Caenorhabditis elegans: one gene and its partner. The protein of the gene in region 1 purifies or fractionates together with the protein of each later gene. This does not show direct contact. Each region holds a gene or a part of one and is shown in the gene's direction. Other genes may lie near its edges.

Evidence for each region.
Region 2: the proteins of F26A3.7 (region 1) and F01D5.10 fractionate together in Caenorhabditis elegans (co-fractionation; one large-scale study listed by BioGRID). This does not show direct contact.

The regions. Positions count from the first base shown.
Region 1 is NC_003279.8:7,674,091-7,678,577, reverse strand, and holds F26A3.7 (uncharacterized protein), read left to right. Parts: upstream 1-2,450; 5' UTR 2,451-2,457; coding exon 2,458-2,511; intron 2,512-2,561; coding exon 2,562-2,765; intron 2,766-2,813; coding exon 2,814-2,915; intron 2,916-2,974; coding exon 2,975-3,070; intron 3,071-3,114; coding exon 3,115-3,402; intron 3,403-3,644; coding exon 3,645-3,794; 3' UTR 3,795-3,844; downstream 3,845-4,487. Other genes in the region: golg-5 (Golgin-84), read right to left, coding at 1-45, 98-452, 621-778, 823-1,042, 1,097-1,328, 1,376-1,533, 1,579-1,778, 1,825-1,896.
Region 2 is NC_003280.10:14,017,171-14,023,338, reverse strand, and holds F01D5.10 (Carbohydrate sulfotransferase), read left to right. Parts: upstream 1-2,008; 5' UTR 2,009-2,113; intron 2,114-2,380; 5' UTR 2,381-2,393; coding exon 2,394-2,652; intron 2,653-3,209; coding exon 3,210-3,286; intron 3,287-3,875; coding exon 3,876-4,018; intron 4,019-4,065; coding exon 4,066-4,203; intron 4,204-4,262; coding exon 4,263-4,400; intron 4,401-4,897; exon of another isoform or gene 4,898-4,986; intron 4,987-5,042; coding exon 5,043-5,200; intron 5,201-5,243; coding exon 5,244-5,374; 3' UTR 5,375-5,500; downstream 5,501-6,168.

The DNA.
Region 1 (4,487 bases):
TGAATTCGAGTCCACAGCAATCGATGTTTCACGATTTGTAGCTTTCTAAAAACAGAATATTACAACTTTTGATATTCATAAATTGATAGTTTCTCACCTGAAGTCTTTCCAATCTCACATTCAACACTTGATTATTTCTTAAAACATCTTCCAATTGTTGTTGCTTCTGCAGTAAAAGATCAGTTAGTTGTGATGATCCATCATCTTCCTGCTTCGTTTGTTCATCTCGCATTCGTGAACGCAAGTCGCTAATCGTCTTTCTCAACTCATTTTCCTTCTCGAGCATTTTAGATTGATGCTGATCACCTTGTCTTTTCATTTCTTGTTTTGTGAACTCATTTTCAATTCTTGAACATTCCACTTTCTCGTTTAGAAGACCAATTGTGCTATCCCATGTCTGCTTCTCCTCGAGATGAGTTCGTTTTTGGTCCGACAATTGAGATTGGAGATCTCTTAAAAGTGGAAATTGGAACAGTACTAAGAATTTCTCAAAAAAGCCTCTTTTTTTTGAATTAAAAAATTAAAAAGCTATTAATTAAAAGCTCGACCATCGAGTATGGGAGAGAATTTGAATTTTCGTCATAAATCCGAAATGTGAAAAATTTAAGGAAAAACCTTACCTTATCTGAGCTTCCAATTCTTCCATATCAGATCTCAAGGTATAAACTTGAAGTTGTGCAGATTCTAAATCGGCTTTTGTAAGGTCTCTTTCAACTCTGATCTCTTCAACTTCAGCTTGAAGAAGATGAACAGGACGATCACTGGATCCGATTCCTTGCTGAATTGAATTTTAATATCAATCCTCGGTCAAATCTCTCAAACCTCTGACTTCAGCGACTCCACCAGTTTCTCTTTAGCTGTCAAAATTTTCTGCGCCTTGTTCTTGTACTCATCAAATTCTTTTTTGTTCTCATTCAGATTGAACTTTGCCAGCCTCAACTGTTCGACCATCGCACGAATTTCTTCTTCCAAACCAACTATTTTTCTCTTATGCATGTTACACTCCTCCACTGCTTTCTCTTTTTGATCTTGTGCTTTTTGTCTAGAAAACTTGAATTAAATGCAAAACAACACGTCAAGATGTTAATATAATTACCTGGCTAATTTCAATTCTTGAAGACTATCCATTTCATGACTTGATACTTTTTGGTTTTCAACTCTCTTCTCTAACATTTCCTTTTCAGCTTTCATCTCGTAATAATCTTGACTACGTTTTTCAAATTTTCTTTCCACTTCAGAAAGTTTCGTTTTTAATACTGATATTTGAGAATCCTTTGCAAATAATTGAGATTTAAAATTGGGACTCGAATCGTTTCCCGCAAATTCTGCTGAAAAATCAAAATTCAAAAGTTTCGTAAGAATCGTCAAAACATACAGGTAGTTCGAATACTAGCAACACTACGGCCTCCAACACTCCTCTGACTTCGTGTATCTTCATCTGGTTTTGCATTTTTTACTTCTTTCGAGTTTAAAACCATCGTCCAACTTTCAGATGCTGCTGTTACTCCTGGCTGATGAGTCGATGAACTACCCCTGAAATTTTAAATGACACATGTGAAGAAAATCAGAATAACGAACTGTTCATAATTTCTTCCTCCTCTCCATCCGGCTCCGGTATAATCACTCTGAGCTCTCGAGGGAAGAGATGGAGCCGGTCTGCCGAAATCTTCAGTGATAACATGTTCTGGCATCGAAATAATCGTTGCTGAGACGCTGGCGGTACTTGATTTACGTGTTCGAGGAGCGGAATCTCTGGCATTTTGAATTGCGTCTCCAGTCTGTAACATTTATTCTGTACATAGAAACATTAGTTTCAAGATTTGCCTTTTCATCAAGTTTATTCAAAAGATTTTCGGCCGCTCCGGCAATATCGGACACTTTAGACAACCATGACATTCGTGTTTAATTCTCTGTAAAAACAAGTTATTCATTTTACGTGGGTTTGAATAATCGTTTAAATAAAAGTTTCCAATGTATGACAAACGAAAGATATGCGTTTCAAAACATGTATTTCAGAAAATCGATTACGAAGCATAAAAACAAGAACAAGCTTTGAAAGAACGTGGATTCGTCAAGTTCGGTCATGAGAAACCTAGACCCCAATTTCTAGGCCACCGAACAATGATAGAATTTTTCCTGATTTTATAGATTTACCTCAATAATTTTAATACATTTTCAATTTTAATATATTAATAAACATATTAAGAAAATATTCAAGAAAATATTTGGGATTCATCATCAATTTAGGAACACCTGGAAAAAGTCAAAGTTTCATGTTCAATGGAGCGCGTAGGCTTGTCACAAATGTTAGTCCTCGAATGTGCTGATTTTCTTATTTAAATTTTTTTTAAAATTAATTTTGTTCGATTCTTCCAAACTATGTTTTTAGACAACATGCATAAATATCCGACAGAAATTTATATAAAATATTTCGAATAACTCCATTTCAGTTTAGATATGTCATACGGCCCTCAGCTTCCTGCATTTCTCATGAAAGGTCAAATAAAAGAGGTGTGATTGATATTTTACTTTACATCCAGCTGATGCTATTTTTGTTTCAGAATGAAGTGGATGACGAAGCAGAAGAAGGCGCTCCCCAAGTCTACGGCCCTGTAATTCCAGGAATGGAAGAACCAAAAAATGAAAAAGAAAAGCACGATGATCAGGAAGAGACAAGTGTATTTGGACCTTCCATACCAAAAGAAGTTAGAGAAAAATTACAAAACGTAGAAAACCCCGCTGAAGACGACGAGGAGGATGAAGAAGTTGTTGATAAATAAATTTGGAAATTTTATATATCTTGAAAATTTCAGTTTCCTTCACAATCCTATGGTCCATCGATTCCTTCAAACTTTCGTCCTACCGTTGGTCCTTCAATTCCAGGAACTTTTGGTGATGATTCTGATGAAGACATTGTAAGTGAAATTGTAAAAAGCGCTGAAATATTATTGATCTTTTACATTCAAAATTAAAGGGCCCAATGCCAGTTGCAAAAGGGGATGAAGAGAAAGAAGCAATTGATCGAGCATATCGGATGGTATTACAAAAAGAAGCAGAAGACGATGAAAAGGTAAAATTAATAGCTTAAGTTTTTTCTCAGAATATATATTTTAGAATTTCCAACCAAAACGCGAAGAATGGATGACATCAGTGCCGAAAAAACTAGGAAATTTCGGTCTTGGCGCGCGAACTTTCAAAAAAGGAACCACATCAGAAAGGGATGCTTCTTGGGAAGATGCTCCAGGAGCTAAGAAAAGAAGAAATGAGGAGACAAGAAGTGCGAGATCTGTTGGAATTGCTGCTGCTGATGCTAGACAAGCTGCTATTGTCGCGGAAAAGACATCTGGACCCTCTCTTCTAGAAATTCATCAAAAAAAGAGAGATGAAAAAGTTAAAGACGCGGTAAGTTGGAAAATGGGTAGTTCTAAAAATAAAAATAAAAATTATAGGGCATTCATGTCATGAATTCCATAACTTTTGACGAAAATTATAAATTTAAATTATTCAAAAAAATACATTGATCAAATTATTTTTGAAAAACGCAATCAGTTTAACATTTCTTTAAAAAAAAACTTCGATTTATAACAAAAGTGCAGTTTATCAAAATTTTTATTTAATCTAAAAATTAACCAATTCAATTTCAGGGCTATGCACAAGGAGAACGCCGTCCGTTTGATCGAGAAAAAGACATGGAAGTCCGTGGATTGAAACCAGGTGGCAGCAAGGAAGCTGTCGATCGAATGAAAGAATTTGCTGATCGATTCGCGAATAGTAAAGATCAGCGGTTTCTATGAATATTTTGTTTGTTGATCTAACTTCGTACTACATAAATTTTCATTTATTTATATCATGCGACTTTACATTTGAGGGTTTAGAAAACCATTTTCAGGGGCTTTTGAAAATCCTGAAAAAATCATTTTTTGGGTTCCTTTTATATGACTTCTCTCAAGTCCCCGTGTTGTCAATTTCTGTTCTAATAATTATTTTCTAAAATTTCTATATATACTTCCATGTATATATCTATACAAACATTTTCACCTGGGAAGGTAAGTGGTGCAATTCTCATTAATAATTCTAAAACTGACCAGTATAGTGAAACCAGATACGACTCTCCGTTGATCTCACTTGCTTAGGTTTTTGACTCGGCACACACAATATTCACAAATTAATTTTGGTTAAACAATAAAACTATATAGTTCTGACAATATGTATATACGAATAATAAAGTGTTATATCGAATCAAAATTAATTGTTGTACTATAACTATACTTCCAAAGAGAATGGGTTCAATTTCAGGAGACGAGTGGGCGGGGCTACACAAAAATGTCATTTTTCTTTCCGCTCCACTTATCTTCATTTTGTTAGGTGTCCATGCGGTGTCCGGTGGTACCGCTTTTCTTCCGCATTCCTTTTTTTTTACCAGAAAATTGGTTTTCCTTGAAAAATTAGACTTGAGATTTTTATTGTACGGTACAAATTCTTGTCGC
Region 2 (6,168 bases), on another chromosome or scaffold:
AAACAAACATGAATTACAGTAATTCTGTAAATTCTGTACTTAGGATCATTAGGGAGCACACTTGAAAACAAATGAAATAAGGTATGTGAGAATACCGTATCAATCCGATATGTCTGGTACTTCCTCAAAAATATCTATCAGAATATGAGTACGATAGTGTGCATCTTTTCGCGCGACCATCATGGCTCAGCAGGTAAGACTTCGGCACAACGGGAAATGAGATCAAAGTTCAACACACAGGTATAAATTGGGTAAGGAATAGGCAAAACTTGGGTAAGACTTGGGTAAGACTAGGGCGACGCCTCGGGACGACGAGGCAGTCGACGACTTTTTTCATTTTTGAGGCGGCGCCCAACTTTTGCCCAAGGTTTACCCAAGTCTTGGCAACTCCTTATAAATGTTTTTATTTTTTGGGCAAGGCTTGGGTAAGAAGTTGCGAAGCCTTGGGTAGGAAGCTGGCGGCAAACGCCGAGTCATAGCGGAAATTTTTCGGAAATTTTAAAATAATTTTATCATTTTTCGTTGCTTTTTTCAAACCTCTCGGCAACTTTTGTCATTTTCCAGAAATATTTCAAAAATTTCCGGCAAATATTTTACTTTTCAAACGACTATAGTTAGTCAGATAGTTGGTAAGTTTTTTGGCAGTTGTTGGAATTTTTTGAAAAGTTCGAGACAAAATTTGAAATTTCAGCTGAAAATTGGTATTGTTTTTCAAAATTTTGAACCGTCATTACTTTTTTTTGGATACATTTTCCGAACGCCAAGCTTTCCCAATTTTAAGTTGCATAAATCCCCAGAAAAATTCTCCTCCAGCTTCATTTCCCTCCCTAACCGAAACCCAATAGTCCTTGGCAAATCCACCAAAACGCGCAATCAAACACAGACCTACAGCTTTTCCTTATTCACCGCCGCCGCTGCCGAACCCCCGCAAAAAATATGGGAAATTGAGAAGAGATTTAGACAAACACACACACACACCAAAAATGATGCGCAGAATAAAAAAAAAGAGGGAGAGCGAATTGGCAAAAAACTTGAAACACCTAGACGTTTTACGTAATACCCTACACATTAACTACACATTGTCAGGGGAGTAGTTTTATGGTTCTGTTTTTCTGATGCGGTGGGGGGGGGGGGGGGGGGTCCTGCCTACCTACCTGACTGTCTGTTAACATGCTTGAAAAGCAACCTATACTTGCCTCAAGCCCTCACGCCTGCCTACTACCAAAGTCTTGCCTTTATTTCTGTATACTTCAAATTATTCTATATGTACAGTTGACGCCATAATTTAGAAAATAGGTGGTAGGCAGGTGCGCAGGCATGAAGTAGGTATAATATTTCTGCCTCTGATCATCTCCACATAATCACCAACTTCTTTTTATCCTTGTCATAAGGCCCAATGATTAGCGATTTGATACGCCACTTGGCTTTTCCAAAAAATTTACAATTTTCTGTTTAAATCCCCGGGTATCTGAAATTCCTGCCTTTTTCCAATATTTTTGTTTTCTCGATTTTCAAAAATTTCCACATTTTCTCATCTCAGACATCTGCCTGTAAATTCCTGACTTTTAGCCAGTCTTATCTATTTGAAAATCGTCACCTTTGTGATCTTCGTCATTCGTTTTTGCGCCCATGCATTTTTTTTGGAAAGATGTAAATTTCGCTTCCACCTATCGCTTACTGTGTAACTTTGAAAGCTCGCTAGTTTGAAACTATGTATTCTGCGTGCTGAGAATCCCTAACAGTACTCCTTCCCTCAAAGTTCCATTGTACTTCAACAATACCCCTACAGTAATCTTCCAATTCTCTTACAGTAATCATACAGTACCCCAACACTAACCATGCAGAACTGCTACAGTAACCCTACACTATTTCCACAGTAACCATACAGTACTCCTACAGTATTACCGGTACAGAGAGTGTAGATAGTTAGAGAGTGACAGACATCCGGGACCCAATGGGGCGGGGCGCGCGGAAGAGACGATTTGTGTCGATTTACGAACTTTTCCTCATTGTCATCATTTCGTAAATCGAGACAAATCGTCTCTTCCGCGCGCCCCGCCCCATTGGGTCCCGGATGTCTGTCACTCTCTAACTATCTACACTCTCTGTACCGGTAATAATCCTCCAGTTTTCTTACAGTAATCTTACAGTACCCTCACAGTAATCTTACAGTATTCTCACAATAATCCTACAATACTCTTACAGTAGTTCTGAATTACTCCTACATTAGTTCTACATGACTCCTACAGTAATCCTACATTACCCATACACTAACCATATACATTACTTCTACAGTAACCATACAATACTCTTACAGTAACCCTGCAGTACCCCTACGGGGCACCTACAGTAATCTTACAGTAATCCTATTTTCTTTAAGGATACCTATCAAAATGGTAAAAAAGCACAAACACGAGTGCCAAAAACCTCCGCCGCTCCCAACAACACCTCCACCACCTCCAGTCGGGGAGCTCCCAACACAGTACAAGAGGATGTCCTCAACCTTACAGCACGTGCAGCCACCTCGACGTTCGAACCACGCATATTTATTGGTACCATTTGTCATCACAGTCGGGCTCATGTGGTTCGCATATTCACAATGGAAGAATCCGCCGCAAGCTCAACTGCAACCATCTGTGGTTACTGATAGGTGTGAGTTGTTTGGTTTAAATTAATAGTGTCAACTACAGTACTCCTATAGTAACCCTATGCAGTAAACCTTAGTACAGTTGTCAACTATAGTACTTTTACAATACCCATACAGTAAACCTAGTGTAGTAATCCCGAGTACATTAGTCAGCAACAGTACTCCTACGGTAACCCTATACAGTAATACTCAGTACTCCTACAGCAACCCCGTAAGGTAAACCCTAGTACAGTACGCCCACATTCATTGTACAGTAATTGTGCCTAGCAAACACTAGTAACTACAGTACTCCTACAGTAACCCTATATAGTAATCCCAAGTACAGTACCACTACAGTAACCCTGTCACAAGTACTATAATCAATTTATGCTAACCTCCTCGAAACAAATTCCTGATGATTGATCAAGCCCGTATTAGGCGAAATCGAAATTTTCTCAAATTAGCTGAAATTTCCTAATTTCCCTCTCCCTTTTACGGTTTAAAATTTTTGATCACCAAACCACAGAAACACTACAAACAAAACCGGGGACAAAATTGCAAAAAAAAAAATCAATTTTTTCAGACAGACCTCGAGTCGCCTGGATGTCGGACCTCATCAAATCCCTGCCACCATTTGCGCAGGGGTATCGGGCTGAGAAGGTAAGGCGCAGATAAACATTGGACAAAAGTCGCCCGCTACCGCCCCCGCTACCGCCCCGCTATCGCCCCGCTACCGCCCCGCTATCGCCCCGCTACCGCCCCGCTACCGCCCCGCTACCGCCCCGCTACCGCCCCGCTACCGCCCACTGACACCCCGCTACCGCCCCGCTACAGCCCCGCTACCGCCCCGCTACCGCCCCGCTACCGCCCCGCTACCGCCCCGCTACCGCCCACTGACACCCCGCTACCGCCCACTGACACCCCGCTACCGCCCGCTACCGCCCCGTTACAGCCCCGCTACCGCCCACTGGCACCCCGCTACCGCCCGCTACCGCCCACTGACACCCCGCTACCGCCCACTGACACCCCGCTACCGCCCACTGACACCCCGCTACCGCCCGCTACCGCCCCGCTATAGCTCCGCTACCGCCCACTGGCACCCCCGCTACCGCCCGCTACCGCCCACTGACACCCCGCTACCGCTCTGCTGACCGAAATACTTTAAATGCGCATATCTCGGCGGAGATTAAAGGTAACAAAAATTTGTCAACTGACAAAATATTCCAAAATTTTCAAATTAAATTTTCAGTTTGTCCCAAAGTACAAACTATCGGGATGCACCATAAACGGAAACTTTCCCGAAATGAATACAGCCATATTTTGCTATTTGTACAATTCAACGCTATACACTTCGGCGAATAAGACAATTTCTCAGGATATTGGAGAAACTGGGTAAGAATTTTATAAGTTATCTAGGTGCTCTACAATTAGAGATTCAGATTATGCTCCAAAATCGCTGAATTCAATATGAACGACTGGAAGCTGTGGGATAAAATTAATGACGATTTTCGAAGGATTGTATTTATTCAGCATCCGTTGGAACGATTTGTTAGGTCATATAAGAAGTTGTGTAAAATGTGAGTTTTATTGATTTTTACGAAAAAAAAATCAATAATTATCGATTTTTTTTTTGCAGTGAGCGAAAATGCTTCAACTGCCAGGACAATCTCAGTTGCTTCATGCGGAAATTGTTGAAGCAGCACGAAAAAACAGCGGAGGGGCTTGCAGGACCAGTCAGGACGTTTATCACAAATCATTTCAGCCCTCAGACTTGGTAAGTACGGTATTTTGAAAAAAGTCGGGAATGCAAGCGCGCTCCATTGCAAATTAGCTGAAAATTTGGAAAATTGGCTTTAAAATCGATTTTTAAGTTGAAAGATTAGAAAAATAGCTGGAAAATGAAGAGAAACGTTCAAAAAATATGTAAAATATTTTAAATTTAAAGAAAAAGTAAAATATTAGTGCACTTTTGGAGAAAAACTACTAAAATTTCATCAAAAATTCGTAATTTTTTATTGTTTCCCGTCCAAAAAGGTTTTATTCTCACTTTTTATGCCAATAAAAAACCAAAATTTGTACTGAAAATACCAAAAAACCACATTTTTAACATCAATAAATGCAATTTCCCCTTTAAATCACCTCCCCCACGCTGCGTTTCCTCCTACCACACGCTCTCTCCCCGCAGCGTCCACGTAAAACATAGCGCGCCGCGGAACCCGCAAGTTGTCCGCCGCGTCGGTTTATTACGTTCGCGAGCCTTCTTTCTTTAATCACGTCTGGTGAGGATGAAAACAGGACAGGTTTCGCTAAAATATTACCGAATGCCAATATGTCGAGACACCTTGGCTGTCTGAGGACGTTTTAATAATAAATTTTGGAAGTTAGCTTTTTAGCAAAGTGTGTTTATTATTTCCAGGAATTGCCATTTCAATCGGGAGTTTCAAAAGATTCGTACAGTGAAGATTGGCGGGAATCAAACTGAACGGGCGGAGTTCTCCGATAACCTGAATGAAATCCTTGGGGAGCAGGGAGTTGCTCAAGAGGTTCAGCGGATTATTAAGGAGGAAGTTTTGAGTAGGTTTTTTAGTCTGAAGCGTCCGAAAATCCTGATTTTCAGAAATTCCCCTGGAGCTCTCACCGGACGAACGTGAGCTCGCCGTAGCCATAAAACGAGATCATGACGATCTTTACCGACTATTCCGTTATCTGTACGAACACGACTTTATCGTGTTTGGATACCCATTTTAAACAAGTTCTCAAAAAAAAAAAAAACCAAAAGCAGCTGACATTTCACGGGTTCCCCATTTCCATACTTTTTGCGTTGTTGTTCCATCGATTTCTGGTGCTTTTCCTCAATAAATGATTCGAATTTTGAATTTTAAGGTTTATTTCTTATCAAAAATGACATAATCACTATCAATGTTTGTGTTGTGCTGTGTGGGCTTTTTCAAAACGTTTGGGAATTTGATTTTTACAAATAGTTCAGGTTTACTATTCTAAAGTGCAACACGGTTTTGCAGAAGATCAACATTTTTGCAGAATTTTTTGCGGAGGTTTTTTAATGATGTAGAAATTTTAAATTACTGTAATTTTGTTCATTTTTGAGGTTTAGCAAATGCGCTCTAATGCAAAATTTTGAAATTTTTGTTAAAACCCCAGCTACTTGAGACTGTTGTAGTTTTTTAAAATTCAATTTTTAGCACTTTGCTAATTTTCAAATTTTTTTAAAATCAACTAATAGACAATTTCAAGTACTACAATTAGTTAAAAATTAATGGCCAAACTAGATATTTCTAAATTTTTTAAAATCGTAGATCAAAAATGCTCACGGAGCAAAATGCTCCTCCCAGTACTGTAGCCAAGTGTCTAGCCAAACAAAATAAGGAATCAGTTTGAAAATCAACTGATATTATCAGTTGACATGTGCACATTTTTCTCTATTAAATTACCACTATACTACACTTTTTTTCCGTTTTTAAGGAAATTTTTTGATATGCATTAATTCACAGAGGTTCAGTATTTTGAGTGTAGTTGAAAAAAAC